4 linked regions of the Saccharomyces cerevisiae S288C genome follow. The protein of the gene in region 4 binds, or shares a complex with, the protein of the main gene of each other region. Each region holds a gene or a part of one and is shown on either strand. Other genes may lie near its edges.

Region 1 (7,231 bases), on a different chromosome or scaffold from region 4:
GATAAGAATGAAATTCCAAAACAAGTAGTGTTGGGAGGTAAATTTCCTCCACTGCTAATTCCAACTACGTGTGCATTTTTCAATAGTAATATTCCGTCACAAGAGGCTTATTTTCATTTTCTCTACCCTCATCTTTTTTTCACTTTTTTCCTTACAATGAATACATGTGATATAGATACTTAATTGTCTGTTTTGCGAGCTTGCTTCTTCATATCTATGTAATATGGGCCAGGTCAACCCAACATCTACCAATTATCTATATGATGAAAAATATGATTGGTAGTTACCGCCAATGCATAGATTTTAGACAACTTAATAAGGCCATGTTAAAGGGTGCATTCCCACTATCGCGCTTAGGATTGGATGAAGCATAACTTTTCTTCACTGTCAAATTGCATCGTAGTTATATCAGATCCAAATAAAAAATGAAAATAACAATAACAAGCCTTCTATTTTTTCTTGTCATGATCGTCGAGCTCGCAAGTGCGGGCACACTACTTCATAATGGTGCAAATTTGCCCTCATTACGTGATAACACCACTCTAACTGATGCTCGTAATGTGTTAAAGTACTTACAAGTGCTTGGTTTTCCAAGCAACAAAATAGCGGCTACAGATACTGTTGGAACTTTTATCATATTTAGCAATCGTACGGAAGCTAACACTACCGCTATGACGAAGACAGTGTCATACTGTTATCGTAACTACGGGCATAGTTTCTACTTCACTCATTACAAATACGACTATTTTCCTAGCGGGATTAGTTATATGGCAAAACTTGGCGATGCCACCGTCAACCATACGGACTTACCTCACTTTAGGAACAACAAACGGCTAACAACGCAAGAACTCAATGCCTTCCAACATCCAATTGTCGAGTTTCAGTAAGTACTCAGGTATTACGTTATGTACATGTATGATAATTCTGATTAACATCTTTTATACACAAAGATGTATGCATGAATGGTGCAAATATCTCGACGATGCGCAGTAAAGAAAGCAATTTACTACTAACGTCTAGCGATATCATAGATGATGACAGGATAACGATATAGGTTAGATGGATATTGGAGTAATTGTCAAGTCCCATTTTGATTGAAGACAACATTATTAGGCCTACAGAGTTGCTAAAATTCTCCACTAGGTCACAGGAGTTCGCAAAAGAGAATCAACAATCTACATAACCATGCACACATTTCTTCGTCCTCTACGTTATAATTTACTGCTCTAAAAGCGTCACTTCTCCTTTCATTTTATGTTTTATTGTTCATTATCCTACTGCGTTATCAATCCTTACATTTCGGCTTCCACTAAATTTAATGACTGCTTCTCATCATTTCATGTCTTCTAACGCCGTATATAATAATATCCCAGCAAAATATAACTGTTAGTTAGTGAATCATAACCGACTGTTACTCCTGCAATATCCATGGGAGAAATCACCATCGGAAGGTAAACTAACACGTAGGTATTGATTCTACCGGAAATGAACAAATGTCGTACTGCCCAAATGAGCCAAATGCCATCATATACGCCTTCATAACTATATTTGAAAAATACCTTTGCCTAAAAGACGAGTGGTATTGGAAACTTCAATTAGTGTTCAAAAATGTCCAGTGAGAGGATGAAGTTGTCGTGGTTGAAACAGCATAAACCACCTAAAATAGTATCAACTGACAACAACTGTGGAACACATGCGGTTACTTTTATAATTAACCGCAAAATACCTGAAATGAGCTAAGAAATAGTAATTATAAACATGCCACTACAAGTAACAGATTAAGTGATATGTTGGCGGACCTCAATATAAGCGACATGGAGAGATAGAGATAGAAGAATTTGTTATTGTGTTAATAAATAAAGTTAACATCCAGTTCTTTCAAGTTGGCTAAGCGCCGTGGCGCAGTGGAAGCGCGCAGGGCTCATAACCCTGATGTCCTCGGATCGAAACCGAGCGGCGCTAATTTTTCATTTCTTTTTGCCCGCAACAATAACACAGATCGCAATCATTTAAGCTATAGACTATAAGCTTTAACTTCTGCGTTATTATTAATAATTGTTATTGTTTTAGTTAGGTATTTCTATCAACTTATTTTATATATTCTATATTACAGTTTTCTTTTTTTACAAATTCACCCAGCAATTATTTATTATTAATTGTACATCTTCTTTAATAATGAATTTATTATTGCACAATATTCAACTTAGGAAAGATAGAGGAACTGAATTCTTTATCAGCAATGAAATAGGCCGTCTACGGCCGTCTACGGCCTATTCCATTGCTAAAAATTTGAATCGTATAAAGGGATATTACCCGGAAAAGAAACGCATTAAAAAAAAAAAAAAAAAAAAAACAGAAAAAGTGGTTAAGTGATTGACTGACCCTTGATAGTTTTGTACAATTATACACTCGTTCTGATTAAAAACTTGTTTATAAAAATCTTTTTAAAAGAAAGAGAAGATCGTGTTTATTGCTTTTCTCAAAAAGACTAATCAATTAGAATAACAAAAGAAACATATACATATAATGACTGAATTGTGTCCTGTCTACGCCCCTTTCTTTGGTGCCATTGGTTGTGCCTCTGCAATTATCTTCACCTCATTAGGTGCTGCTTACGGTACTGCTAAGTCTGGTGTTGGTATCTGTGCCACTTGTGTGTTGAGACCAGACCTATTATTCAAGAACATTGTTCCTGTTATTATGGCTGGTATCATTGCCATTTACGGTTTAGTTGTTTCCGTTTTGGTTTGTTATTCGTTGGGTCAAAAGCAAGCTTTGTACACCGGTTTCATCCAATTGGGTGCCGGTCTATCAGTCGGTTTGAGTGGTCTAGCTGCTGGTTTCGCTATTGGTATTGTCGGTGATGCAGGTGTTAGAGGTTCCTCTCAACAACCAAGATTATTCGTCGGTATGATTTTGATTTTGATTTTTGCTGAAGTTTTGGGTCTATACGGTTTGATTGTTGCTTTGTTGTTGAACTCCAGGGCTACTCAAGATGTTGTCTGTTAAGGCAGCTTCTGAATCACTAAAGCAGGAATAGAGTATACAAAAGAATCTTTTTGTGAGAAACTATGAAAACTATCAAAATTTTTCATCTTAGAGATTGTTTATAGCCCCTATTCTTACTTCATATCCAAACTACCTCATTTCAAGCTTCCTTTTTATTAGTACCATTATTATTGTTTAAAAGAGTATTACACGCTAAATATGTATATCTTAATTTTTAATGTGTATAAAATAGAAAATTTGAATATCAAGGAGCAACAAAGAGCATTATGCGTTTTAAGCTACACAATGGGTACGATGAGATCACTATACCTGTACTCTTAAAAGAGGCCCAACCTTATCAACTTCTATTGTTAAAGTAGACAATTGTATCGTTTCTTTTTCTTATCGGTTTTATCCGGGTAATAAATTCAGCATATAGAAAAATTTTTCATTTCTATTTTCTTTTTCTTTTCATTTTTCCTTTTTCTCAGAAAATTTTTTTTTCTAATGCTGGAATGAGATGAGTTAGAAAATTTTTCACTTTAAAACTGATTATTCTGGTTAATAGTGCTTATTCCTCTTAGTGTTCAAGTCCTACTTTCAAATCTTAATTTAAATCATCATTCGAGCGAGCTTTCTATACCAGGACCATACTGATTATTGCAAGGAACTTGAATAAACCAGATTTCATACTATAAAAACTATATTAAAAATGTCTGCCCCAAACCCAAAGGCTTTCCCATTAGCCGATGCTGCATTAACCCAACAAATCTTGGATGTCGTTCAACAGGCTGCTAACTTGAGACAATTGAAGAAAGGTGCCAACGAAGCTACCAAAACTTTGAACCGTGGTATCTCCGAATTCATCATTATGGCTGCTGACTGTGAACCTATTGAAATCCTATTGCATTTACCATTACTATGTGAAGACAAGAATGTTCCATATGTCTTTGTTCCATCTAGAGTTGCTTTAGGTAGAGCTTGTGGTGTTTCTAGACCAGTTATTGCTGCTTCTATTACCACCAACGATGCTTCTGCTATCAAGACCCAAATCTACGCTGTCAAGGACAAGATTGAAACTTTATTAATTTAAGTAGATTGGATTATATCTATCAACATAGTTTTTGTACCATCTATATACTATAAAAAAGTTTTTTGCTTTCCACTAGTGCAGACGCTAATAGTGCTGTTTTGTTAGTGGTATGATATATGTCATATCTTCATTGAATAACCTACTCGAGTGCATCTGTAAATGCACAAACATGTATTATCAATTGAGCTGTAGTAATTTAGGCATAACAAAAAGGTGCAAGATCTCATGGCACCTATTCGTTCGTAGGAGATTTATTGTCACCTTTTTAGTTTTACAGGATCGAAAAAATCTATGGTCTTGTATGGTGAATGATCTATATGTCTTCTCTTTGAATTTCTAGCTAGCTCATCAAAGCCGCTTTCATTTATTCCAGTCTCTTTACTCACGGAATATTGTTTAGTAACATTTCGCATGCTTTTCTCAGACCTTCGAAAAGCTCTTTTACATTCGAGCTTGATCTTTTTGTAATCATGCAACGTTCTCATCCACAGCTCACCAATGAATTCCGATATTATATAAATTTGGCCCTCAGTACCGCAAAGTAAAAATAGAGGTATGACGCCTTCCAACCTTTGACTATTGAAATTTGGACATATTTGAAGGTTTTGAAATCCATCTGGGATGGCCGCCAGTGAGATTATCTTATTAGGTAACCGAATTTTGAGGTATGGCATAGCCAACCCGCCCTTATCAACTGATAATTTAGAATCTTCGTATATTGTCAAGGTATTATCAATACCAATGGTGGCAACATAAGATCTATTGGAATATTTCAACGTTGCACAAGAAAGGTCTGATAATCGACCTAATAGATAGTTCTTATCACTCGCTAAACAATCGTTTTTAGGTTCTCTTAGCTTCTTAGGAATTATTTTAGTCGCCACTTGTGTAATGCTTCCCAACCGCTTAAAACCCAAGTAGGGACATTCAGGGTACTCTGATGGATATACTATGGACGTCCTAATTGGAAAGCGGGTTCTCAAAAAATCTCTCAAGATCTCAAATTGAACCAGATAATCACCACTCATATAAGCTGGAAGACCTATATGGTTAATCGATGAAAGTGCTGGGAAGGAATAGGCCTCTAAAATTTCCGCGCCCTCTTTTAGCATGTTTATTTTATATGCTGCTATGCCACTATCACCAGAAAATAAAACCAAGTTGCACTCATAGTATATGAACACCGAGAATATACAATCTTCGAGATAATTCGCGTACAATTGGGTAATGTTATTGTTTCTAATTTCAAACAGCCAGAATTTTGTACGTTTTTCACCAACTCCTAAGCATACAACAAACTTATTACCATAAAAGGGTCTCTGTGATAAGTAGATTGAGTTTTGTTCTGGCCACAGTGGCTTCACAACGGCATGTAAATACTTTTCATCCGAGAAACTGAATGTGGAAACTGCCTTCATTGAAGCATAATTGAATAGCATCAACTTATACTGCCTACTATTGCTATCGACCAAACACACCACGGCCTGATTGAGGTTATTTGGAACAGTATAGAGCTCTACGGGAATGCTAGGGAGGTAAAAGATATGATTTTCTAATTGAGGTTTTAATGAAGTCATCTGCTTAGTGAAACCTTCACGGTAAAACGTGCTACCAAACTCAAAGATGCTTATTCGAGAATCATAATCTAAAACACAAAGAGAGAACAGTGCTTTACCGGGTCGAATTCTCATTCGTCTTGGAACTAAGCCTAACTGTATGCAACCATAAGACATGTTTTGAAGATTTAACAAAATTATTTCCTTATCGTTGTAAAGGAAAACCAAAGGTAAGGAAGGAATCGTATCCAACAGTTCTAATTTCTGATCGTATAACGAATGAATCTCTAAATCCACTCTCAAAAAATTTGATTCTGATTTGTAGACTCTTACGCAGCCAGTGTATGATGATGCGATGACATAAATCGAGTCGTGTTTATGCTTTTTGCTTAGCCAAGATATTTTTATCAATTGATCATAGGCTATGAAAGAATAGTCTGGATGTGATGTAGCCACTTTCTTTTGATTGGCATTCCATACCGAAAACACACCGTCCAAGTAAATGACAAAAAGGTATTTCTCGGCACCATCTGAGAAACAGCTCACAATACTCTCTTTAGAATTGAGCCCATGGATAAAAAATTCTTCTTTTTTACGTAGAAAACCAGATTTTGCCTCAAGTATCGAAATCCTGAGCTTGGAGTTCTGTACGGGATAACAAAACATGGTGGAAGAGTTGTGGTTCGACTGCAAGAAATCGACCTGCCTAAATTCTCCGGTAGAACCATCCATACCGGCTTTCAAAACTTTTCCCGTCCTAGAAACAAATAGACCGTAATCATAAGGCTCATCCATTAAAAATATTCCGTTCTTATAAATCAACCCACCTGATTCATATGCAAATTCGTCACCACCATTAAGTGCTAAATCTGTAACCCAAAAATCAGTTACATTCTCTACTAGCGCTTTGGAGGAAGTCACTAACTTGAACAGGGTTTTGTCATATACCAAAATTTTCTTTTCTAAAAATCCTCTTCTTGAGTTAAAACTTCCACCCAAAAGCAGTGAATCAATATCTGTCCCCTTGTTTCCAATAACTTGTGATGCCAGGTAAACTTTGTTTGTATAAGCGGGACCGCTTTTCACCTTTTCTAATTTTGAACCTCGATGATCTTTCGATATAAAATTTACTCCATTTATTCTTGTCACCGCTATATACTTTTCACGTGGGAGCTGCAAAATAACATCGCATAGATCATGTTTAGGAGGCTTGAACACTCTTTCTTTTGTCCATTGTAGTTCTTTCAGGACGTGGTCTCTATGTAACGACCTAGTGTGTATCTTGGCAGTGTATTTGTTAGCATACACGTCAGAAATTGTCAAGAGAATGACTGATCTTTCATATATCACATCATAAGAATCTTTTAGAAATTGGTAGTTTTCTACATTTGGGAGACCTTTATTATTGAAAAAAGCCCCGTTTGTAAGCCCACTTGCTTTTATATTTATTATTTGAGTGTAGTTAGTAGTCAACACTACAATGGTATGGCCGCAAACTACCTTCATATAACAAAATTCATTATCACATATCGGCAAAAGATTGTATTGGCGGTACTCGTTTAAATCAAATTTCCTACTTCCATGCTTTCCAGCA
Region 2 (7,377 bases), on a different chromosome or scaffold from region 4:
ATGGTACAAGGGTTGGGAAAAGGAAACCAAGGCCGGTGTCGTCAAGGGTAAGACTTTGTTGGAAGCCATTGACGCCATTGAACAACCATCTAGACCAACTGACAAGCCATTGAGATTGCCATTGCAAGATGTTTACAAGATTGGTGGTATTGGTACTGTGCCAGTCGGTAGAGTTGAAACCGGTGTCATCAAGCCAGGTATGGTTGTTACTTTTGCCCCAGCTGGTGTTACCACTGAAGTCAAGTCCGTTGAAATGCATCACGAACAATTGGAACAAGGTGTTCCAGGTGACAACGTTGGTTTCAACGTCAAGAACGTTTCCGTTAAGGAAATCAGAAGAGGTAACGTCTGTGGTGACGCTAAGAACGATCCACCAAAGGGTTGCGCTTCTTTCAACGCTACCGTCATTGTTTTGAACCATCCAGGTCAAATCTCTGCTGGTTACTCTCCAGTTTTGGATTGTCACACTGCTCACATTGCTTGTAGATTCGACGAATTGTTGGAAAAGAACGACAGAAGATCTGGTAAGAAGTTGGAAGACCATCCAAAGTTCTTGAAGTCCGGTGACGCTGCTTTGGTCAAGTTCGTTCCATCTAAGCCAATGTGTGTTGAAGCTTTCAGTGAATACCCACCATTAGGTAGATTCGCTGTCAGAGACATGAGACAAACTGTCGCTGTCGGTGTTATCAAGTCTGTTGACAAGACTGAAAAGGCCGCTAAGGTTACCAAGGCTGCTCAAAAGGCTGCTAAGAAATAAGGAGATTGATAAGACTTTTCTAGTTGCATATCTTTTATATTTAAATCTTATCTATTAGTTAATTTTTTGTAATTTATCCTTATATATAGTCTGGTTATTCTAAAATATCATTTCAGTATCTAAAAATTCCCCTCTTTTTTCAGTTATATCTTAACAGGCGACAGTCCAAATGTTGATTTATCCCAGTCCGATTCATCAGGGTTGTGAAGCATTTTGTCAATGGTCGAAATCACATCAGTAATAGTGCCTCTTACTTGCCTCATAGAATTTCTTTCTCTTAACGTCACCGTTTGGTCTTTTATAGTTTCGAAATCTATGGTGATACCAAATGGTGTTCCCAATTCATCGTTACGGGCGTATTTTTTACCAATTGAAGTATTGGAATCGTCAATTTTAAAGTATATCTCTCTTTTACGTAAAGCCTGCGAGATCCTCTTAAGTATAGCGGGGAAGCCATCGTTATTCGATATTGTCGTAACAAATACTTTGATCGGCGCTATCTGTAATGGAAAAGAGAAGAAGCCTCTTGACTCACTATCCACTCGAACTTGGAAACAATGGTCGAAGATGCAGTATATGATACGACCTAAACCGAACGAGGGCTCAATGACATTAGGAATGTACTCTCGTATATGTTGCAAAGTTGTCTTCATTTTGATAGTAACCAAACTGCTATCTAGTTTTACGATCTGGCCATTTACTTGACAGGTAAATTCACCGTTCTTTTCCAGTTCTTCATGCCTCCTAATCAATTCATCCTGGGAAAATTTTGACAAAACAGATTCGATTAATTTTGCTTTCTGTTTGAACTTCGATCCGAAAAATTTCTTATTCACTTCCACAACCCACTCGGTTCTTTCTTTTGGTGTATCTAGCTTTTGCTTTACCGTCAGACTTCTTCCCGTTTTCTTGGAGTGTACAGTTAAATCAAAAGCCGCCCTGTCAGCACAACCGACACATTCAATCCAACCATACGATGTTAAAATTTCACCGTCCCAACAATCTGTGGCATAGTGTGCCATTTCATTCTTCAAATGCTGGCGAAATCTGAATTTGTCCTTGTTGATCCCAATATTCAACAAAAATTGATGAACTCTTGCCATAAAATATCCCAATGTTTCATTTTCTACCATTCCAGAATTCACTGCCTCTCCTATAGTCATTTTCACAGGCAGTTGGACTTCACCACTTTCCTGTAATCTGCGTGATAGTAGTGGAATCTCCTCATTTAACACTTCATTGAATTTTGCATGTGACTTATTCAACGGATCAACAAAGTGCTCAATTTCTGCCATTAAAAACTCTCTTACCCTTAAAAGCCCACTTCTGGGGGAAATTTCGTTTCTGAATGACTTACCAATGGAAGCTGAAGCAAACGGAATTTTCCCTTGGTTGATTTCCAATAATTTGTTGAAATTGAGAAATTGTCCTTGTGCAGTCTCTGGCCTTAGAAAGGCCTTCAATTGTCCTGAGGCTCCAATTTTAGTTTCGAACATCAAATTAAAGGAAGTTAGTGCGTCTAAAACATCGTTAGTGACTGGATCATTAATGTTATATTCCTGCATGACGAGATTCAACTCAGGACCCGAAAACCCGTCAATCGTGGTCAATATTTTCTCCATATTTTTCATATCCTGTGGATTGACATCCTTGTCCAACAGCCGTTTTTTCAACGTCTGTTCAATCAAATGGTCTGCTCTGTAGTATTCCCCAGTCTTAGGATTTCGGCACATCCAATCAGTAAATTTGTCTACATGCCCAGAAGTCTTCAACACATCGTAAGGAGTTAGCATTGGCCCATCAACCTGAAGCATGTTTTCTTCCATAATAAAATGTTCTCGCCACAGTCGAATCAAGTTATTTTGCAACTGACAACCCGGAGGCCCTAAATCAAATAAACCTGACACACCACCATATATCTCAAACGAGGGTGTGTAGAAAAACCTTCTCCTCAATGTACTTTCCAATTTATCTCTTTCCGAATTGGACATTAACGGCATGTTGATGTGATATGTCTTTCAACAGTCCAACAAAATGTTCTTTAATGTATCACATTTATCGTTTTTCACTTTCATTGTCTAAAAGAAAAAAAGGGTTGCAACTACTATCGCAGGTTCATAAATTAGACCTCATACGAACAGTTCATCAGAACTGATCAATATGCTTCGACCTTTTATATTCTGTCAAGGTTATTCATTACTTACTCACTGAATTGTTAAGACATCGTGCGCCTAGCCTACATAGTTATTATGAATTATGAAACACGCTTATGATTATAATCGTATGGAGAGACCACCAGCCCTTTGTTCTTCCTGGCACCTCTGAATATAGTTTCTAATATGTCAATCATTTCTTGTTTGTCGTCTACAATAAAGTTCAACTTGTTGTTGTTCCCTGTACCAAAATCACACATCATGTGCTTATTGTGGTAGAAAAACATTACTGTCATGGGATCCGTCAGCTCGTACATCTCATCAAAATCTGAAACTTCATCTATATCACATAAATAAATAACTGCAAAGTTCCTTACTCTTTCAGCAATCGAAGATAACAACTCGTCCATGATCATACATTGTCTATCATTTTTGCGACCAAAACGAATGACAACAAGTCGTTTAGTCTCGGTAACAATAGCCTGATCCACATGCCATCCCGTACGCAATTGAGGCAACAAAACACTAGCCATCAAAACTTGACTTCTTACTCTTTCTCTACGTACTATTTCTATCCGATGATCGAATTTGGTATGTAAGTTCTGTTTTTCCACTTTGCGAAGCGGTCATTGGCCCAAAAGAAATACAACGAGTCATCTCCTCGCAGTAAACTGTACAACAGCAAAGAAACAGTTAAAAACCCTCCAGAGAGAACACTTACTACTATAGCATGGATGAAAACGGTACAGTAAAGCCTGGCTATGAATTAAAGGGACTCAATTCGGGAAATTCGAGGTCAAATATGGATAAGGATCCCATCGTTAGCAAATTTCATAGGGCTGGTCTCAATGATTCTGCAGACGAGGAAGATACTGATATCAATGGTAATCGCAACACTAGCTGGATAACTTCAATGATTAGTGAAGAAAAACGCAAGGTGGAGGGAAAATCTATGCTGAATGATGAGGAAGATTTGCATTTATCCAAAGCTACTTTGAACAAATGCGATGCTCTAGTTAAGATATTAGCGGATATTATCAAGCTAGAGTTTGTTATTCACCAATCATGGTATATCAGATCCCTTCACAAGAGTGTCTTAATTCAATTTGAAGTAGAAACGTCTGGTGGAAATAAGAATAGCGCCGGTGATAGCGGCGACGATGATGATGATAATCATAATGGTAATCTGGACGATAGCTTTTATAAAGATTTAAGCTTAAAATGCATCAAAAAATGCGAGAAGTCTTCCCTTGCACTTGAGTCGCTGTCAAGGGACATTGACCAAATTAGAGATTTCATAATGTCCAATACAATAGAAGACAACAGGGTTGACAGGCTTTTGCAGAATTCGATGACCCTGTTATTAGAGTGTTGGATCTACTCTATGAAGAGATTGCGCCGTCTAAGGATGAAGATTGCAGGTATCTTTGTTAGGTCCAAACTTTTGCTTATTGATCATGAATTAGTGACCATATGGCATTTTTTACAGGAGCAAAACGAGCACGAAACGGTTAATAATGAGAACGAACTGAAATTGGCAGAAACAATAAAATCATACAGAGCGTTCATTAAGATATTTATTCAACAATTGGAGGACTCCGAATCGGGATCTCCATCCTCCTCTTTGTTTGAAGAATGTTTACACGTTTTTTTGGATATAGAATCGATGTACAACTCTTTAAACCTGAATTGGCTTTTGAACGAAAACAAAGCATTACAAGAAAGACTACTATCACCATCGTCGACATCGGAGAACGATCATACTAATAACCTTCCCGTTATTGATGAGACAAAGGAAATCGAAGATATCAGCTCATTTGTCAATAGCATTGTGGATGCATCCATGTTGACACATGATTTGACTCCTATTAACTCATCAGATAGCGACAATTTATCAAACGGAGAAATCGATCGTCTAGATGGAAGAAGGTTATCCTCTTCCACGTCAGATATGTCATTGATGATGCAAAGGACTTCTCTGCAGAAACAACTTCCTAGCTTATTAACTGCCTTCAACAACGCAAGAAGACTAGAACAAGAATTGCAAAACGCATGCAAAGTAAACGATAACAAACATAGCACGAAAGATACTGATTCAAATATACGACGGAATGAACATGCTATGTCTTCAAGTGTATCCTCCATCATCTCCCAAAACTCCACATTAGCATCACCGTCTCCTCCGATGTCATCGTCCTTTATATCCACGGCGCCATCACAATCAAGTTCTCGTATGAGTACATTACCACTGTCTCCTTCCTCTTCATTATTGGAATCACAATCGCAAACGCTGAAGAACAATATGTCGCAATGGTTGAACCAATCGCGATCTGGCCTCAACGGCACAAAACTTATTCCAACAAACCACATTGGGTTTCACAGCAATGTTCTGAATACTTTGTATGGTATCGGTGGTGGTCCGGTATCGAAATCTTATAAATCCAATCAACCTTCTTCACAAAATACTTGATAAGAATAAGGATATCATTGCTATGTAAACAAACTAAATGCGAGGGTTGAGTACATAAATACAAAGCAAGACTTTTATCATACATAACACATATAACAACCAATGCATGCATCCTCTCGACAATAGTTTTGTGCGTATGTCTTTGCGAAGTCCAAATACTACTCACATCCATCTTTTATTTTTTAATCCCATCGCAGCGAGTTTAAGCCTGAAAAATAGTGAACCAGTTGAAAAACACTAATAACATCGATGCAAAACTAACTATCAATAAACTGTTGTGTTTTTAGAACTCTGTACGTTGTTTCCTATCCCAAGAGTTCAATAAGACGCAGCCAAGCTTTTATTCTCTTGACTCGTCCATCATAGAGCTTTATAGAAATGTCAGAGAAGGCTTCTGAAGAGAGACCCATACGGCTGGCCGTTCTGGGGGGCACTTCTACCGGAAAGACCTCCCTGGTATCTAGGCTTACTGTTAATATCGTCCACGAGGTTCATTATCCAACAAGAAACCAAACTAACTGGCTTTTCGGCTTTGTTCCGTCATCGATCCTGGCCAGAGCTATATTAGACGAACAAGCTCACGAAAGACTTTGCCTTCGTTCCCCAAGCAGCCAAACCTTAGAGCCTATCTTCCCTTCACCTCAGGTCTCCAAAAATGTACTGCTGTCGCCATTGGTGTTTCAAGCTTCCACTGATAATTTTCAATCAGTGAGGTTACACAACAAAAGCCACTCCAGGAGATCCCTATCTTTGGATAAATCTGATTCTCCGCTGTATCAAACTTTTTCCAATGACATTAACTCTCAAAGTGTTCCTAAAATCAAGGCAGACCAGCTTAACGTTATCGAGCATTTTAAATTGCCCCTGAATTACATTCCACCCACTTATGCACCAATCCAGATTGATATTATTGATACGCCTGGCTTCAGTCCTGATAATGTGGTGCCGTTCTTAGAAGTTTCTCTCTTCCGAAATTTAGGAAAATCAATCCTACATGGACTAGCAGATGAACCAAGACGACCTGTATCTACTACTTCACTATTGGTTGCCTCTGGTGCCTCTGAGTTGAATGGTAAAGTTGACGGTTATATCTTGGTGTATAGCGCAGTCCCTGAATTAAACCATATTGGAGGCCCTCCGGAATATGGAGATGATGTGATGAACACAGATACGGAAAACGTCAGCGATGGTGGATTTGAACTTTTAAAAGTGATTAGAAACTGCATACTAGATGCTTGGACTGAATTTCGAAATTATGAAAAAAGATGGGAGGAAGGCAAAGAGGATGATATTTACTCATTGGTTTACAGCCTGAGACATCTATGGAGTAAAAATAGCAAAGAGAAAAGCGCCAAAATAGAGCAATTGAGATCCTATAATACCAAACTAAAATCCATCGAGTTAGACCCCTCATCTCCCGATTCACCACCACCATGCATTATCGTCTGTTCTCACGTTAATCATGAACTCGCAAGCCCAATGTTGATTGAAATGGGAAGACAACTAGCAACAAAATGGAAATATGGATTTGTTGGAATAGACAGCATGGATGATTTAAATGTCGATGTGGCGGTTAGCTTACTAATAAAGGAAATATCAGAAAAGATGAAGCTACTGGTTTCTAATTCCAATGGAAGTAGTAGTAGTGGTAATTCAAGTTCAATTTACAACTCTCATTTAATGAATGACAAGAAGAAAAACAACAATGCCGGCTTAAACAAAAATATGTTGAAGAAAATTATAAAATAATTGATAGAGGGAAGAACTCCCTTTAACATTCTTATGACCATGATACATCGCACTTTTTTTTACTTGGATTGAGGAAATATGTATATATAGGCACGTATGTATATATACAAATGTTCTTTCTGAAACCATGTAAACAGAAAAGGAAAAAAAATAATTATATTTTATTGAGCTTTATGGTACCATCTTCATATCCAATTAAACACCAGTTACATTTCGCCAGCGCTTTAATACGTCTAAGTTGTCCTAAC
Region 3 (7,200 bases), on a different chromosome or scaffold from region 4:
AACACATTAACTCGAAAACTAAACATTCCATTATATGTTGCTGGTTCTAATGGATTGTTCGCTTATGTTTTTATTGATTTGATTGAATTCATTTCAGAGGATGAAAAATTGCAAAGTGTAAGACCTACCACCGTTGGTCCCATTTCAAGCAATAGGAGCATTATAGAAGTTACTACTAGAAAAGATGAAGAAGATGAAAAAAAAACATATGAACGAATCAAGACCAAGAACTGCTATAGGCCACTGAACGAAGTTTTAAGCACAGCAACATTAAAGGAAAAAATGACGCAAAGACAGTTAAAAAGAGTCACTAGTATCTTGCCGTTAACCCTGTCCTTATTGCAATATGGTCTCAACCAAAAGGGCAAGGCCATAAGCTTTGAACAAATGAAAAGAGATGCGGCCGTATGGTGTGAAAATCTGGGTGTACCAGCAACAGTGGTAAAGGACGATTACATACAACAGTTTATCAAACAGAAAGGTATCGAGTTTGCTCCTGTCGCGGCCATTATAGGGGGTGCTGTAGCGCAGGATGTCATTAACATTCTAGGTAAAAGGCTATCTCCATTAAATAATTTCATTGTTTTTGATGGTATTACATTAGACATGCCACTTTTTGAGTTTTAGATATATACATACCTACTATACTGTAGTTTCAGCCAAAAAAAATAATAAAAAAAGCATAATTGGAGGCAGTAAAGCATTATAGTCATACACAATAATAATAATAATAATAATAATAATAATAATAATAATAGTAGTAGTAGTAATGGTAATAAAAAAGTTAGAAAAGAAATTAGATACAGATATTCGTAGTAAAGGCCACGCAGTACAAAAAAGACGGAGAATATATTATATAAAATCCTCTACTCTTTTCGTTCAGGTCCAAAGGAAAATTCTTGCACGCGCAATGGACTGAACAGGCCTTATATTATACAAAAAGCCTAATAACGATCAAATAAAACAAAAGAAAGCCGTTGCTCCTATGCCTGACCAGAGACGGCTACTTGTTGTAAGTGAGTCATGAAATTTTGTAAGGAAACATCATCTGTTAAGACAATTGTAGATCCTCCGCGCGCCATGTCTTGATAGTTATCGGAAGGATTCAATTTAGATAACAAGAATCTGGCTTGAGAACCACCGGCTTCAGTATCAATGAATCTTGGTAGCGGGAACCTATCTACTAACAATTCTGCGGCTTCTAATTTTGGCTCTTCAAGAAGAGCTTTGAAATCTGCGTACTGTGGATCGTCTTGGTAACCGGCTTTTCTCCATTGAGCGATTTGCTCACCGTGGTATATTAAGATGAAGAAAAATGTATCTAATAATAGAATGGTATTGGGTTTGACGGAGATAGAGTCTAATAATACCGGTTGTGGATCGTCCTCCATTGAGAAAGAAGTTAGAGTTGGTTGAATCATGATTAAAGAATTAGTCGTATCCTCTCTTGTGAAAATATGTCTATAAAATGCAGTTTCATCCGGAGAATTGTTAAAGACACTTAAGAATTGGGATCTTCTTAAATAATAGGTAAATTGAGGATACAGTGAGAAATTTGGAGCCAACCTGAAAGATTGAGGATCATCTTTATTATAGTCGGCGTACTTTTGACATAGCTTAATCAAAGTTCTGTCTAACCATCTAATAACATCTGCACCATCATCGGTTTCAGCCTTGTGAACAGCAATACGAGCCATCAAAACGGCAGCAGCTTCTTGATCGAAAGAAGCTGCAATGGCAGGAGTACCGAAGGGCAAAAGCTGGTTTGCGACCGTGGTGACTCTGATACGGTTGGTACCAGAGGAGTGTTGATAAGTAGTGATGAATTGAGTATATGCTAGATGAGGTCTATCTGCTGAACCAGGGGCAGACATCATTGGGTTAGAATTAGCCGCAGTGTTTGCAATTTCAAAGAAAATCGCATACGAGTGATAAGGCGATAAGGAAGCCATCTTCCAGGTGGACGTTGCACCTATACCGATTTCAGATTCACTGATGTTGTTAGCGTCTGTCTTCTTTACAGCAGAAGCATGCCCAATCAAACCTTGTACCTTCAAGTCTTTACTTGTCTTGACTGCCATATTACCATTGAAAGCCATCTTCAAATACCCTTCTTCATCCTTGGCAAACAATCTCAAGTATGATTGCTTAAAAATCGCGGTAGAGAAGGCATCGGTTAGCAACAACACACCTCCAGTAGAGTCGGTCAACTGTTTCATTTCAGACATACCGATTTGATCGTAACAACCGGCAAAAATATCAACAGTGTGTCCATTGGCGGCAACTCTTTGTGCAATCTGGTTGTAAAACTTACAGGCCTTCTTGTAATGTTGCGCGTGATCAGAATCGATGTCGTGGTGGGATCTTAAGGGATCTTTTAACTCTGAGTTAACAATCAAACCTGGGGCCACGGTGCCTGGACCGGAGGCGAAAAGAATGATTCTTGCTGGGATGTTCTTATAGCAGCCCTGTAAAAGCAAAGATGCAATGTTCAAAGCGGAACCTGTGGCCCTTAATGGCCTATGACCCGCTGGAACAGACCATTGGTCTGGAGACAGATTTTCCAGTAATTGATTCAGTTTGAACTCGACCTGTTCCAAGGGCAGGAAGAACCTATTCAAAGAGAAGGGCGTAACTTTGTTCATGGCGTTCGGTAGATGAGATGCAGCACCGCCGGGGCCGGTAGGCTTTTGGCCGGTCAACATTTCCGTCAACGCTTCGAGCTGGTACTCCCTGTCTCCTCTGAACACGTTGCACCTGTCAATAGTTTCGCTGGACAGATCGTGCAATTGAACAACGTTTCCGTAAGTGATCAACCCAATCAGCGCGTTGGGAGGTAATAGAGACAAAGAAGTGATGATAGACTCCTTTAGCGAATCGAGGTTCTCGGTTTCCGAAGTCAAATCCACAACAAAGAAGAAAATGGGAGGAACGGTAACGGGCTTATTGGTGATGTACTCAATGGTGGTGGACTGTAACTCTAGCGGCATATTCTCCTGTGACAAGTTGGTGTACTGTGGAGGTAAATGGTTCCTGGAGTTACAGATGGGACAACTCCAGGACGAATTGCGCGGATCAATCACACAGTAAGGATTTAGAATCGACTTACAGTGTGGACCGGAACACACAACTGGATTGTATGGGGCAACGTTCAATTCGTCATACTCCTTCAAAGGTGTGTACAAACAGCCCACAGGGACGACGTTGCTGTTAGCGTCGCTTCTAGTAGAGGGAAACACGTTCCAGGTGAAACGGACCCCGTTGATGTCTTCATTAGTCTCGAAGTCCATGGCTAGAAAAGAGGAAGGGGAGGCAGGCGACAGACAGATAAACACTGGCTTCAGTTAATTGTGTGTCTTGCTGAACGTGGAAAGATCACAACAAGTATCTTTTTTTCTTTTTTCAAACGTGTTTTTCTTTTATTCTTGCTAGAACTTTCCTCCTTTGTAACAAACGAGAGGCGGCGGGCTAGTCGTCGCAAGCGACAAATCTCAACTGACAGTAAATAACGGTGATAAAACAAAATTAGCGCAATCTCTCAAACTACTGAGGACAACCAACTTGAATTGCACTCTTCCAAGTTGTAGCATGGCTTGGGGGGTGTGTGATCCCATCCTGTATTATGGCAAAGCAGGCAAAACAACCGCTCTGCCGTCCGGGTAACTTTTCTTGTTCCACCTCTTTTCCCCAACATATATGAACATGAGATGGTAAGAGCAAGAAACAACGGTTCTATGAGCAACGCAAAAACAGCACAGCACACACAGCACCGCGTACTATACCACACCACACACTACGTCACAACACAACAAGACAATGAGCGAGAGCAGTGATATCAGCGCGATGCAGCCGGTGAACCCGAAGCCGTTCCTCAAAGGCCTGGTCAACCATCGTGTAGGCGTCAAGCTTAAGTTCAACAGCACCGAATATAGAGGTACGCTCGTGTCCACGGACAACTACTTTAACCTGCAGCTGAACGAAGCAGAAGAGTTTGTTGCGGGTGTCTCGCACGGCACCCTGGGCGAGATATTCATCCGCTGCAATAACGTGCTGTACATCAGGGAGCTGCCGAACTAAGACGACTGTGCTCATCTCCCTTACATACCAGTATATTTACATACGCCCTCTACTGTAATACAATATCATTCTATAGCACTCGCATCGCGTATTTTTTTTTTATTTTCTTGCTTTATATTGTTCTATTTTTCTTCCTTATTCCTGCCTCTGGATTTCCCTCGCATGACAAATAGCGTGGAAAAATAAAGGATTTCCAGTATTTGAAAAATTTTCAGTATTCTTACGTGTTCCTAACTCATATAGACCGCTATTGTAATAACGCTATCGCTTCAATTACACACAAACATACACGCACCCACAATGAGCATCGAATACTCTGTTATCGTTCCCGCTTACCATGAAAAGCTGAACATCAAACCCTTAACAACCAGATTGTTTGCCGGCATGAGCCCTGAAATGGCCAAGAAGACCGAGTTGATCTTTGTCGATGACAACTCACAGGATGGCTCCGTTGAGGAGGTGGACGCCCTAGCTCACCAAGGCTACAACGTCCGCATCATCGTCAGGACAAATGAACGTGGTCTATCCTCCGCCGTGCTTAAGGGTTTCTACGAGGCCAAGGGTCAGTACCTGGTATGCATGGACGCAGACCTACAACACCCTCCAGAGACCGTGCCCAAGTTGTTCGAGTCTTTGCACGATCACGCCTTTACTCTGGGCACCAGATATGCCCCAGGTGTCGGCATTGACAAGGACTGGCCTATGTACAGACGCGTCATTTCCTCCACTGCTAGAATGATGGCCAGACCTTTGACCATCGCCTCCGACCCCATGAGCGGGTTCTTCGGTCTACAAAAGAAGTACCTCGAAAACTGCAACCCTAGGGACATCAACTCGCAAGGTTTCAAGATTGCCCTCGAGCTTCTCGCCAAGCTTCCTCTTCCAAGAGACCCTAGAGTGGCGATCGGCGAAGTGCCATTCACTTTCGGCGTGAGAACGGAAGGTGAATCCAAACTGTCAGGTAAAGTCATTATCCAATACTTGCAACAACTTAAGGAGCTCTACGTCTTCAAGTTTGGCGCCAATAACCTTATCCTTTTCATTACTTTCTGGTCCATTCTGTTCTTCTACGTTTGCTACCAGCTATACCATTTGGTCTTTTAAAGGAAGTGAATGGTAACGAAAAAAAAAAATCTTTCTTTATATGTCTCTTTAAGTACTCCCTTTCAGTTATATGCCTTTTATTGTCTGTCCCTATTCTAATCCTCTACTCGGGCCATCATTGTTAACGTAATATTTGCCCTAGGGTAAAAACATTAGGTTGATTAGGCCATAACTCATTCTGCCCCACCCCCACACATAGGGTTCAGGAACTTGGTTTTCAACCCTACTGCATTGTTTCCCACGCGGCGCTACCAAAATATATCCAATTTTCTTTTTTGTCACAACAGCAGCAACCCCTTGAAATGGCCAATTCTTCTCGAGACTTTGCTCCCTTAATCTTTTCTTCCCCCCCGGTTTCTTGATGATTATATATACTAACCTCGTATATTACACACTGTACTTGAAGTCACTCATATCCGAATACTACTTCTCTTAACTTCCAGTCAACCCGACACCCACAATCGTCCTTAGTATATAACTGCTTTATGAATAGATCATTACTGCTACGTTTGTCGGATACCGGTGAACCCATTACAAGCTGCTCTTACGGAAAAGGTGTCTTGACGCTACCACCAATTCCGCTCCCTAAGGACGCCCCAAAGGACCAACCGCTCTATACGGTCAAGCTACTGGTATCTGCAGGTTCCCCTGTCGCTAGGGATGGGCTAGTTTGGACTAATTGCCCACCAGATCACAACACGCCCTTCAAGAGGGACAAATTTTACAAAAAAATCATTCATTCCAGCTTTCACGAGGATGACTGCATTGACCTGAATGTCTACGCTCCAGGCTCGTACTGCTTTTATCTATCTTTCAGGAACGATAACGAAAAACTTGAGACAACAAGGAAATACTACTTTGTTGCCTTGCCCATGCTTTATATAAACGATCAGTTCCTACCTTTGAATTCCATCGCTTTACAAAGTGTTGTATCGAAATGGCTGGGCTCTGACTGGGAGCCCATCCTATCGAAAATTGCCGCTAAAAACTACAATATGGTACATTTCACCCCTCTACAGGAAAGAGGCGAGTCTAACTCGCCTTACTCTATATACGACCAATTGCAGTTCGACCAGGAACACTTTAAGTCTCCTGAAGACGTGAAAAATTTAGTTGAGCATATACATCGCGATTTAAACATGCTTTCATTAACAGATATTGTTTTTAACCACACAGCTAATAATTCTCCTTGGTTAGTTGAGCACCCGGAGGCTGGGTATAACCACATCACTGCGCCACATCTAATCAGCGCCATAGAGCTCGACCAAGAATTGCTCAATTTTAGTAGGAATTTGAAATCCTGGGGCTATCCTACCGAACTGAAAAATATAGAAGATCTCTTCAAGATCATGGACGGTATTAAAGTGCATGTTTTAGGGTCGTTGAAACTGTGGGAATATTATGCGGTAAACGTGCAAACAGCTCTTCGGGATATCAAAGCCCATTGGAATGACGAATCTAACGAAAGTTACAGTTTTCCCGAGAATATTAAAGACATCTCGTCCGATTTCGTAAAACTAGCTTCCTTTGTGAAGGACAACGTCACTGAGCCTAACTTCGGCACTCTTGGTGAAAGAAACTCAAACAGGATTAACGTGCCAAAATTTATTCAACTACTGAAGCTCATTAACGATGGTGGTAGTGATGACAGTGAATCTTCGTTGGCCACGGCTCAAAACATCTTGAACGAGGTCAACTTACCCTTATATAGAGAATACGACGATGATGTCAGTGAGATACTCGAGCAACTGTTCAATCGTATCAAATATTTGAGATTAGATGACGGTGGGCCCAAGCAAGGTCCAGTGACCGTTGACGTGCCCTTAACAGAGCCTTATTTTACGAGGTTCAAAGGAAAAGATGGTACTGATTATGCCCTCGCCAACAATGGCTGGATATGGAATGGTAACCCACTAGTGGATTTTGCATCGCAGAATTCAAGAGCTTATTTACGTAGAGAAGTTATCGTGTGGGGGGACTGTGTCAAGTTAAGATACGGTAAAAGCCCTGAAGACTCTC
Region 4 (8,395 bases):
TTCCCAATTAGAAAAACTTCTGGAAGAAATTAAAAAGGACAAGAAGTCGACCTTGATTGTTAGTGAAACTAAACTGGCAAACGCTATTAATAAGTTGGGATTGAACTTCAATGTTGTTTCCGATGCTGTAACCTTAGATATCTATAGAGCTATCAAAGAATATTTGCCAGAATTGCTGCCAGGTATGTCTGATAATGATCTAAGCAAGATGTCTTTGGGTTTAGCTCATTCCATCGGTCGTCACAAATTAAAATTTTCTGCTGACAAAGTTGATGTTATGATTATTCAAGCAATTGCTTTATTGGATGATTTAGATAAAGAATTAAACACATATGCCATGAGATGTAAAGAATGGTACGGGTGGCACTTTCCTGAGTTAGCTAAGATTGTTACTGATTCCGTCGCTTATGCGAGAATTATTCTAACAATGGGTATCAGATCCAAGGCTTCTGAAACAGATTTGAGTGAAATCTTACCAGAAGAGATTGAAGAACGTGTCAAAACCGCTGCTGAAGTGTCTATGGGTACTGAAATCACTCAAACCGATCTAGACAACATTAATGCTTTAGCTGAACAAATAGTCGAATTTGCCGCTTACAGAGAACAGTTGTCCAATTACTTGTCTGCAAGAATGAAGGCTATTGCTCCAAACTTGACTCAGTTGGTTGGTGAATTAGTTGGTGCTAGACTTATCGCTCATTCAGGTTCCTTAATTTCCTTGGCCAAATCACCAGCTTCTACCATCCAAATATTAGGTGCCGAAAAGGCTTTATTCAGAGCTTTAAAGACCAAGCATGATACACCAAAGTATGGTTTGCTATATCATGCCTCTCTTGTTGGTCAAGCTACTGGTAAGAACAAAGGTAAGATTGCAAGAGTTCTGGCTGCTAAGGCCGCTGTCTCATTGCGTTATGATGCTTTAGCTGAAGATAGAGACGATTCAGGTGACATTGGTCTAGAATCAAGAGCCAAAGTAGAAAATAGATTATCCCAATTAGAAGGTAGAGATTTAAGAACTACTCCAAAGGTTGTTCGTGAGGCTAAGAAGGTGGAAATGACTGAAGCTAGGGCCTACAATGCAGATGCTGATACCGCAAAGGCTGCTTCTGATTCTGAATCCGATTCTGATGATGAAGAGGAAGAAAAGAAAGAAAAGAAAGAAAAGAAGAGAAAGAGAGACGATGATGAAGATTCCAAGGATTCTAAAAAAGCTAAGAAGGAAAAGAAGGACAAGAAGGAAAAGAAGGAAAAGAAGGAAAAGAAGGAGAAGAAAGAGAAGAAAGAGAAGAAGGAAAAGAAGTCCAAGAAAGAGAAGAAAGAGAAGAAATAAGGATGCATTTTACATTTTAATAATTAGTGACCCCTCGCGTTCCCTTTTATTTGGATTTAGAAAATTTTCTATAATTATCCAATGCTTAACCTATTTCTCATTTCATATTTTATTCCATAATCTGTAAATTAGTGCTGTACGCCCATATTGAATTGAACTTATTATTTTTTTTAGGTGATATATTTGAAATAGTATACATAATTTATGTTTACATAGTTTTAGGTACTTTATATCATTAAAAGTTTTGTTTAACCTTTAAAAAATTTGTACCATTAGCAGTTATAGGTATTCATATCGTGAACTGCGCAACTTAAAATTATTCGCGGGACGAAAAAGATATACAAAATTTTTGAAAGTGAGCAAAGGATGAGATGGTGCAATCGTTACTATTTGATATTAATAAAAAGGCAATCATCACATCAACCCTTAATTAATTTATGAACAAAACGGAAAACCTTTCTATTGAGGAGACAAATGAAATAAGGGAAAAGCTGGGTATGAAACCTATTCCAGTTTTTCAAGAAAAGAATACAGACCATAAAGAGTCTTTGTCAATCGAAGAGACGAATGAGTTGAGGGCGTCCCTTGGCCTAAAACTTATCCCACCCCAACAAAATTTCAATTCTTCTCCCCCTAATGTACATAACACATCCAAAATCGATGAACTTCGAGAGAAGATAACAAAGTTTCAAAAAAAGGCGAACGCTCCTTTACGAATGGCGCACCTTCTCGAAGAAACTAATGTAAATGACGACAGTTCATGGCTAGAAAACATGGATGCAATTCCTTCCTCACATGAATCCAAACGTTCCAGCACATTGCCAAGAAAAGGCGCCACGAAGGAAGACGAAAATATTGATCTGCATAATGTTCAAGTATCATATAATATCGAGGCGCTTAGCCCAAAGAAAGATACGATTCTAACTTTGAAAGAGAGCAGTATTTTTGATGATACTGATTCTACCGAAGTGTTAGAGAATGTGAAAGCTGCCGAGGAAAACGCTGATAGAGAGAAACTACGATTACGACAAATGAATAAAGATAGAAGACAAAAAAAAAAAATTTTAAATGTATCTAGCTTAGATATTGAAGAAGAAGAAGAAGGAGAGAAACACTCAATTACAACTACACATCTAATCATCGGAGCAGAACAGGGTGTTATGAAGGCACCGAATACTATATCAGCAAAACCACCAACGGGAAAAGTTAAAGTGAATTTCGATAGCGCAAATAATATGTCAGATGAAGATGGTGGAGACTTTAAACCTTTAAAAATTAAAAAACGTAAGATCAAGGACCCAAGATCTACTAAAGCTAGGAAGTCAAAAATTACTGATAAGATGGAAATTGTTAAGTTAGTAGATGAAGATGAAAGTTTATCCTGGATGGAAGAAGAACAGCCAGTCACCATAATAAATCCCAGAACAAGCTCAAACAATGAATTGAAAGGGCCAGAGGACCTCGCTAGAGAAATTGAAAAGGCAAGAGACGAAGAGAAGCGACGCACTGAAAGCATTTTGAAAATGCGTGAAATTTCCAACAGTATTGTCGTCGACGAAAAGGTAACTTTTTTAAATACTTTGGATACCAGTCTCTCCGAACGAAGTGCTACTGAGAATAAAGTGAAAGTGCATGGTGAAGGAGAGAAAAATATCGGAGATGTTACCAATGGACATACTAAGGAAGGGAGTGGAAACAATACACTGACTGAAGCAGTTAATAATGAACCAAACTACGAGGGAGATGCTGAAAATGCACCGAACTTTTTTTCTGGTCTTGCATCAACACTAGGATATCTTCGGAAAAAGAGTGTTTTCACCACAGGAGACGTCGATTTGAAACCAGGAAAGGATGTTAATAATAGTGAATCACTTCGAAGGGATGTCCGAAATAAAGAGCATACGGGCACTGGCACTTATACAAAAGATAAGCTACACGGACTGGAACAATTCACATCTAGTGACTCTTCCAATGCAAATACTCATTCAAAAAGACAAGATCATTATGATCCTGACATAAAACTGGTTTACAGAGACGAAAAGGGAAATCGACTGACTACTAAGGAGGCATATAAAAAACTGTCACAGAAATTTCATGGTACAAAAAGCAACAAGAAAAAGAGAGCAAAAATGAAATCCAGAATTGAAGCAAGGAAAAATACCCCTGAAAATGGTAGTTTGTTTGAATTTGATGACAATTAACCTAATCAGCAAATTCTACTAGCCCCAGCTTTTAATATTCAATATCTTGTTTTTCTCAAGTTTGAAACCTGTGTATAATTGTATTTGGTGTATAAGGCTACGTGGTGGCCTTGAATTCGGAAGTACTTTTCAAACATTAATATTCTGTGATATACATTTGTAAAGACCTTTTGCGTTGTGCCTGAATCTCAAGCCATTGTGTCATTTCACAGCGAAGTGTCATTGTTTTAAGCGATAGAAGCTTGGCGCAACGATCGGATAAAAAAAATTGAAAAAAAAAAAAAATTGAAATGAAAATAAAAACAATCAGATATTCAAAAAATTGAATATCTGTATTCATAAAGAGGAGAAAAAAGAATAAAGAAAAAAAAGAAAAGAACATTAGACTACACGTGCAGCATATACCAACTATTTTTATTATATGCTTATATATGCAAAGCTTACGATATTTAGAGAGTAAGTGGATTGACGATAAAAGTGTTTAATAAGGAGCCATTCGTTTTTATAAAGGAGAAACAATACCGGCCTAACATGATTCAAACGCAAAGTACAGCGATCAAACGACGTAATTCTGTTCATAAAAACCTCTTTGATCCATCACTGTATCAAATACCAGAACCACCACGTGGGGGGTTCCAACACCAAAAAAAAGAATACAGTAAGGAGACATTCAGTAATCAAGTCTTTGGATATGATATTACTAGCCTTAAAAAAAGATTCACGCAACTATTTCCTAGTAATATACAAGGGTACTTACCTGAAGTTGACCTAAGAATAACCATTATTTGTTCTATATGGTACGTCACGTCATCTATTTCAAGTAACCTATCTAAAGCCATTTTAAGAACTTTCAACCATCCCATAGCTCTCACAGAATTGCAATTTCTTGTTAGTGCTGTTCTATGTGTTGGATTTGCTTCCATCGTAAATTTATTCCGACTACCTCGTTTGAAGCATACGAAGTTTTCAAAGGCACTCAATAGTTTCCCTGACGGTATCCTTCCTGAATATCTCGATGGCAATTTCAGGAGTTCTATCCTGCACAAGTTTTTAGTTCCCTCAAAGCTGGTTTTGATGACCACTTTCCCTATGGGAATATTCCAATTTATTGGTCATATCACATCGCACAAGGCGGTATCTATGATACCAGTATCACTAGTGCATTCCGTGAAGGCATTATCCCCAATAATAACAGTTGGCTACTATAAATTTTTCGAACATCGTTATTACAATTCCATGACTTATTATACCTTGTTACTTTTAATTTTTGGCGTTATGACTACTTGCTGGTCAACACATGGCAGTAAGAGGGCTTCAGATAACAAAAGCGGATCTTCATTAATCGGGTTGCTTTTTGCCTTTATTTCCATGATAATATTTGTAGCACAGAATATTTTTGCAAAGAATATTTTAACCATCAGAAGGAAGGTAGGAATACTGCCGTCTTCTTCTACGGATGACGTCACGTCGAAGGAAGGGCAACCGAGTCTAGACAAAACAAGATTTTCTCCATTGCAAGTGGATAAGATTACCATATTGTTCTACTGCTCCTGCATTGGGTTTTCTTTAACCCTATTACCTTTTTTAACCGGCGAATTAATGCATGGCGGTAGCGTTATCAACGATTTAACGCTAGAAACAGTAGCCCTTGTAGCGATTCATGGAATAGCCCATTTTTTCCAAGCAATGCTTGCTTTCCAGTTGATCGGTTTACTATCTTCCATTAATTATTCGGTAGCAAACATCATGAAGAGGATTGTTGTTATATCCGTGGCACTCTTTTGGGAAACAAAGTTAAATTTTTTTCAGGTGTTTGGTGTTATCTTGACAATTGCCGGATTGTACGGTTATGACAAATGGGGGCTTTCCAAAAAAGATGGACGTCAGGCATAATATGAAGTAATACTATTGAGTACAAACCATCATTCAAGGTAGGACACTTAGTACTATATCAAATATATAATCAAAAAAAAAACCCTCGAAGGTCTTTTTTATCTTATTTACTGCTACTACCTCTGTTGCTAGCATTACTTCAAGATCCTAAACTGTTACCCCACCCCCGCACCATATCAAGGTTAAAAATCCGATGTGGCGGTACTTATTTGGTTATTTATCTCATTTACATTAATATGCGTACGGGAATGGCCTTCCGCTCCGTGGAGGATAAAGTGCGGTCATTTTATTATTTTTCGAAAACAATGGCTACAATCCCTTGATTATCTCACATGCGATTACAAAGCAAAAGAGAAGATTCGCATGCAGGAGCCATACACGCGTCTTTTTTAAGGTATTTCCACGATCTCGCGGAAAAACTTATAGAACGAACAACTATTGCTTTAACTAGGAAAGAATAAGAAAAAATAGCGATCATACTAGAACCCACAGTCGAGGCACAAGGATTTTGAGGATTGCTCTACCCCTAATGCCTATTGCTTCGATTGCTGAAAGCGGATCTACTCCTTTTTCCAAGTACTCGAAAGGTTGAGAGAAATAAAAATAGACTAGTCGACGGACAATGCCAATAAAGTTTGGTTATACGAACTGCTTTAACCAAATTAATATTGGACAGACTCCGTGTTTTTTGGTTTTGCCCTTTTTTCCCGCTAGAACGACATTGTGTTTCTCCAAAATTATTCCATCTTTTCCCTCGTGTTAACAATAGAGTCACAACGCACCTGTTATTATGATCTCGGGGGTGGCTTCCCGAACATCGTCGGTTGAATACTGCGCTTTGGCGTCCGAAAAAGAAAAGATAGGAAAGGATCGAATTTTTGACATTTTTCTCAACCTGCTGCGCGCTGTTCTATAGACGTTTGAGGCACCTGAAAAAGAAATACAGCGGAATAATTACTGTTCTGCTGAATCGCCCTAGGCGGTATTGTATGAGGCTAATAATAGAGAGACATCTCTGAAAAGAAACTAGAGGAAAATTTTTCAAAAATATCTATTTTGCTCAGAGAAATGAATATAATAAAGAAGCTATTTGGTTAGATCTCCCAGTAGTTACGGGGACTAGATATATAAACTGCTTGATGTACGTTTGGAAATTCTCAAATAGCAATTCTCTCTTCAAAGTTAGTGAAGGATAGGTTATATCTGTAAAAACATACTAAGATCTGAATAACTAAGATCACGGGGGCATACTATCGATTAAAAAGCTCTGATTTTACTATAGATTAAAAAGAAAAATAATGAGCTCAGACAGTTTAACGCCTAAAGACACTATAGTTCCAGAAGAACAAACCAACCAACTGCGGCAACCTGATTTAGATGAGGATAGCATACATTATGATCCAGAAGCTGATGATTTAGAGTCATTAGAGACTACTGCCTCTTACGCGTCAACGTCGGTGTCGGCAAAGGTGTATACCAAGAAGGAAGTAAATAAAGGAACTGACATTGAAAGCCAACCACATTGGGGTGAAAATACCTCGAGCACGCACGACAGTGACAAAGAAGAAGATTCCAATGAAGAAATTGAAAGCTTCCCGGAGGGTGGATTCAAGGCTTGGGTTGTGACATTTGGTTGCTTCTTGGGTCTAATTGCATGCTTTGGTTTATTAAACTCAACGGGGGTCATAGAAAGTCATCTACAGGACAATCAATTATCCAGTGAAAGTGTTTCTACCATTGGTTGGCTGTTTTCTTTGTTTCTTTTTGTTTGCTCTGCCTCATGTATCATTAGTGGTACTTACTTTGATAGAAATGGATTTAGGACAATTATGATTGTGGGCACGGTTTTTCATGTAGCCGGTCTGTTCGCTACCGCCAACTCTACTAAATATTGGCACTTCATACTGTCCTTTGCCATTGTCTGCGGGTTCGGTAATGGTATTGTACTGAGTCCCCTAGTAAGTGTTCCCGCCCACTATTTTTTTAAGAGACGTGGTACTGCATTGGCAATGGCCACTATTGGTGGTAGTGTGGGTGGCGTCGTTTTCCCAATTATGTTGCGTAGTTTCTTCTCTATGAAGTCAGACACTGATCCAACTTATGGATTTGTTTGGGGCATTAGAACTTTAGGATTTTTAGATTTGGCTTTGCTAACTCTGTCAATCATTTTAGTCAAAGAGAGGTTACCACATGTTATCGAAAATTCCAAAGATGGTGAGTCACGTTGGAGATACATACTCAGAGTTTATATTCTGCAATGTTTTGATGCGAAGGCTTTCCTGGATATGAAATATCTTTTTTGTGTCCTGGGAACGGTATTTAGTGAGTTATCCATTAATTCAGCTCTTACTTATTATGGATCATACGCCACCAGCCATGGAATTTCTGCTAATGACGCCTACACCTTGATTATGATTATAAATGTCTGCGGCATACCCGGGAGATGGGTTCCTGGCTATTTGAGCGATAAGTTCGGTAGGTTTAACGTCGCAATTGCAACTCTACTCACTCTATTTATCGTCATGTTTGTTGGTTGGTTACCATTTGGTACCAATTTGACAAATATGTACGTTATTAGTGCCCTATATGGATTTTGTTCTGGAAGCGTTTTCTCCTTACTTCCTGTTTGCTGTGGCCAGATATCTAAAACGGAAGAGTTCGGTAAACGTTACTCTACAATGTACTTCGTTGTCGGTTTCGGTACTTTAGTCGGCATTCCGATAACAGGTGCCATTATCTCTATCAAGACAACGGCCGATTACCAACACTATATTATTTTTTGCGGTTTGGCAACTTTTGTAAGCGCTGTTTGCTACATAATTTCGAGAGCATACTGTGTTGGCTTCAAGTGGGTCAGATTTTAAAAAGTAAGACAGTGCCCTTTATAGATCTTCAAAAAAGTAATGCAATAATATTTTCTTTTAGGAAATGTGTAGATAGACTATTTAATTAAAATTTCCTTATGTTTTTT

What was found.
Region 1: SNU66 (region 4) and SNU13 share a complex: the UniProt entries of both Saccharomyces cerevisiae proteins name them as parts of the U4/U6-U5 tri-snRNP complex.
Region 2: SNU66 (region 4) and DIB1 share a complex: the UniProt entries of both Saccharomyces cerevisiae proteins name them as parts of the U4/U6-U5 tri-snRNP complex.
Region 3: SNU66 (region 4) and SMX3 share a complex: the UniProt entries of both Saccharomyces cerevisiae proteins name them as parts of the U4/U6-U5 tri-snRNP complex.

Annotation. Positions count from the first base shown.
Region 1 is NC_001137.3:98,243-105,473, forward strand, and holds SNU13 (RNA binding protein SNU13), read left to right. Parts: upstream 1-3,700; coding exon 3,701-4,081; downstream 4,082-7,231. Other genes in the region: YEL028W (uncharacterized protein), read left to right, coding at 426-887; VMA3 (H(+)-transporting V0 sector ATPase subunit c), read left to right, coding at 2,527-3,009; YEL025C (uncharacterized protein), read right to left, coding at 4,339-7,231. UniProt on the Saccharomyces cerevisiae protein: Common component of the spliceosome and rRNA processing machinery. In association with the spliceosomal U4/U6.U5 tri-snRNP particle, required for splicing of pre-mRNA.
Region 2 is NC_001148.4:701,214-708,590, forward strand, and holds DIB1 (U4/U6-U5 snRNP complex subunit DIB1), read right to left. Parts: upstream 3,444-7,377; coding exon 3,012-3,443; downstream 1-3,011. Other genes in the region: TEF1 (translation elongation factor EF-1 alpha), read left to right, coding at 1-757; GRS2 (putative glycine--tRNA ligase), read right to left, coding at 901-2,757; MDM36 (Mdm36p), read left to right, coding at 3,641-5,380; YPR084W (uncharacterized protein), read left to right, coding at 5,759-7,129; ASA1 (Asa1p), read right to left, coding at 7,284-7,377. UniProt on the Saccharomyces cerevisiae protein: Essential role in pre-mRNA splicing. Also essential for entry into mitosis (G2/M progression) as well as for chromosome segregation during mitosis.
Region 3 is NC_001148.4:896,378-903,577, forward strand, and holds SMX3 (mRNA splicing protein SMX3), read left to right. Parts: upstream 1-3,816; coding exon 3,817-4,077; downstream 4,078-7,200. Other genes in the region: E1 ubiquitin-activating protein AOS1, read left to right, coding at 1-627; GTPase-activating protein SEC23, read right to left, coding at 984-3,290; DPM1 (dolichyl-phosphate beta-D-mannosyltransferase), read left to right, coding at 4,378-5,181; GDB1 (bifunctional 4-alpha-glucanotransferase/amylo-alpha-1,6-glucosidase), read left to right, coding at 5,667-7,200. UniProt on the Saccharomyces cerevisiae protein: Plays a role in pre-mRNA splicing as a core component of the spliceosomal U1, U2, U4 and U5 small nuclear ribonucleoproteins (snRNPs), the building blocks of the spliceosome.
Region 4 is NC_001147.6:889,760-898,154, reverse strand, and holds SNU66 (U4/U6-U5 snRNP complex subunit SNU66), read left to right. Parts: upstream 1-1,767; coding exon 1,768-3,531; downstream 3,532-8,395. Other genes in the region: RNA-processing protein NOP58, read left to right, coding at 1-1,330; SLY41 (Sly41p), read left to right, coding at 4,063-5,424; MCH5 (riboflavin transporter), read left to right, coding at 6,723-8,288. UniProt on the Saccharomyces cerevisiae protein: Component of the U4/U6.U5 tri-snRNP particle, one of the building blocks of the spliceosome. Required for pre-mRNA splicing.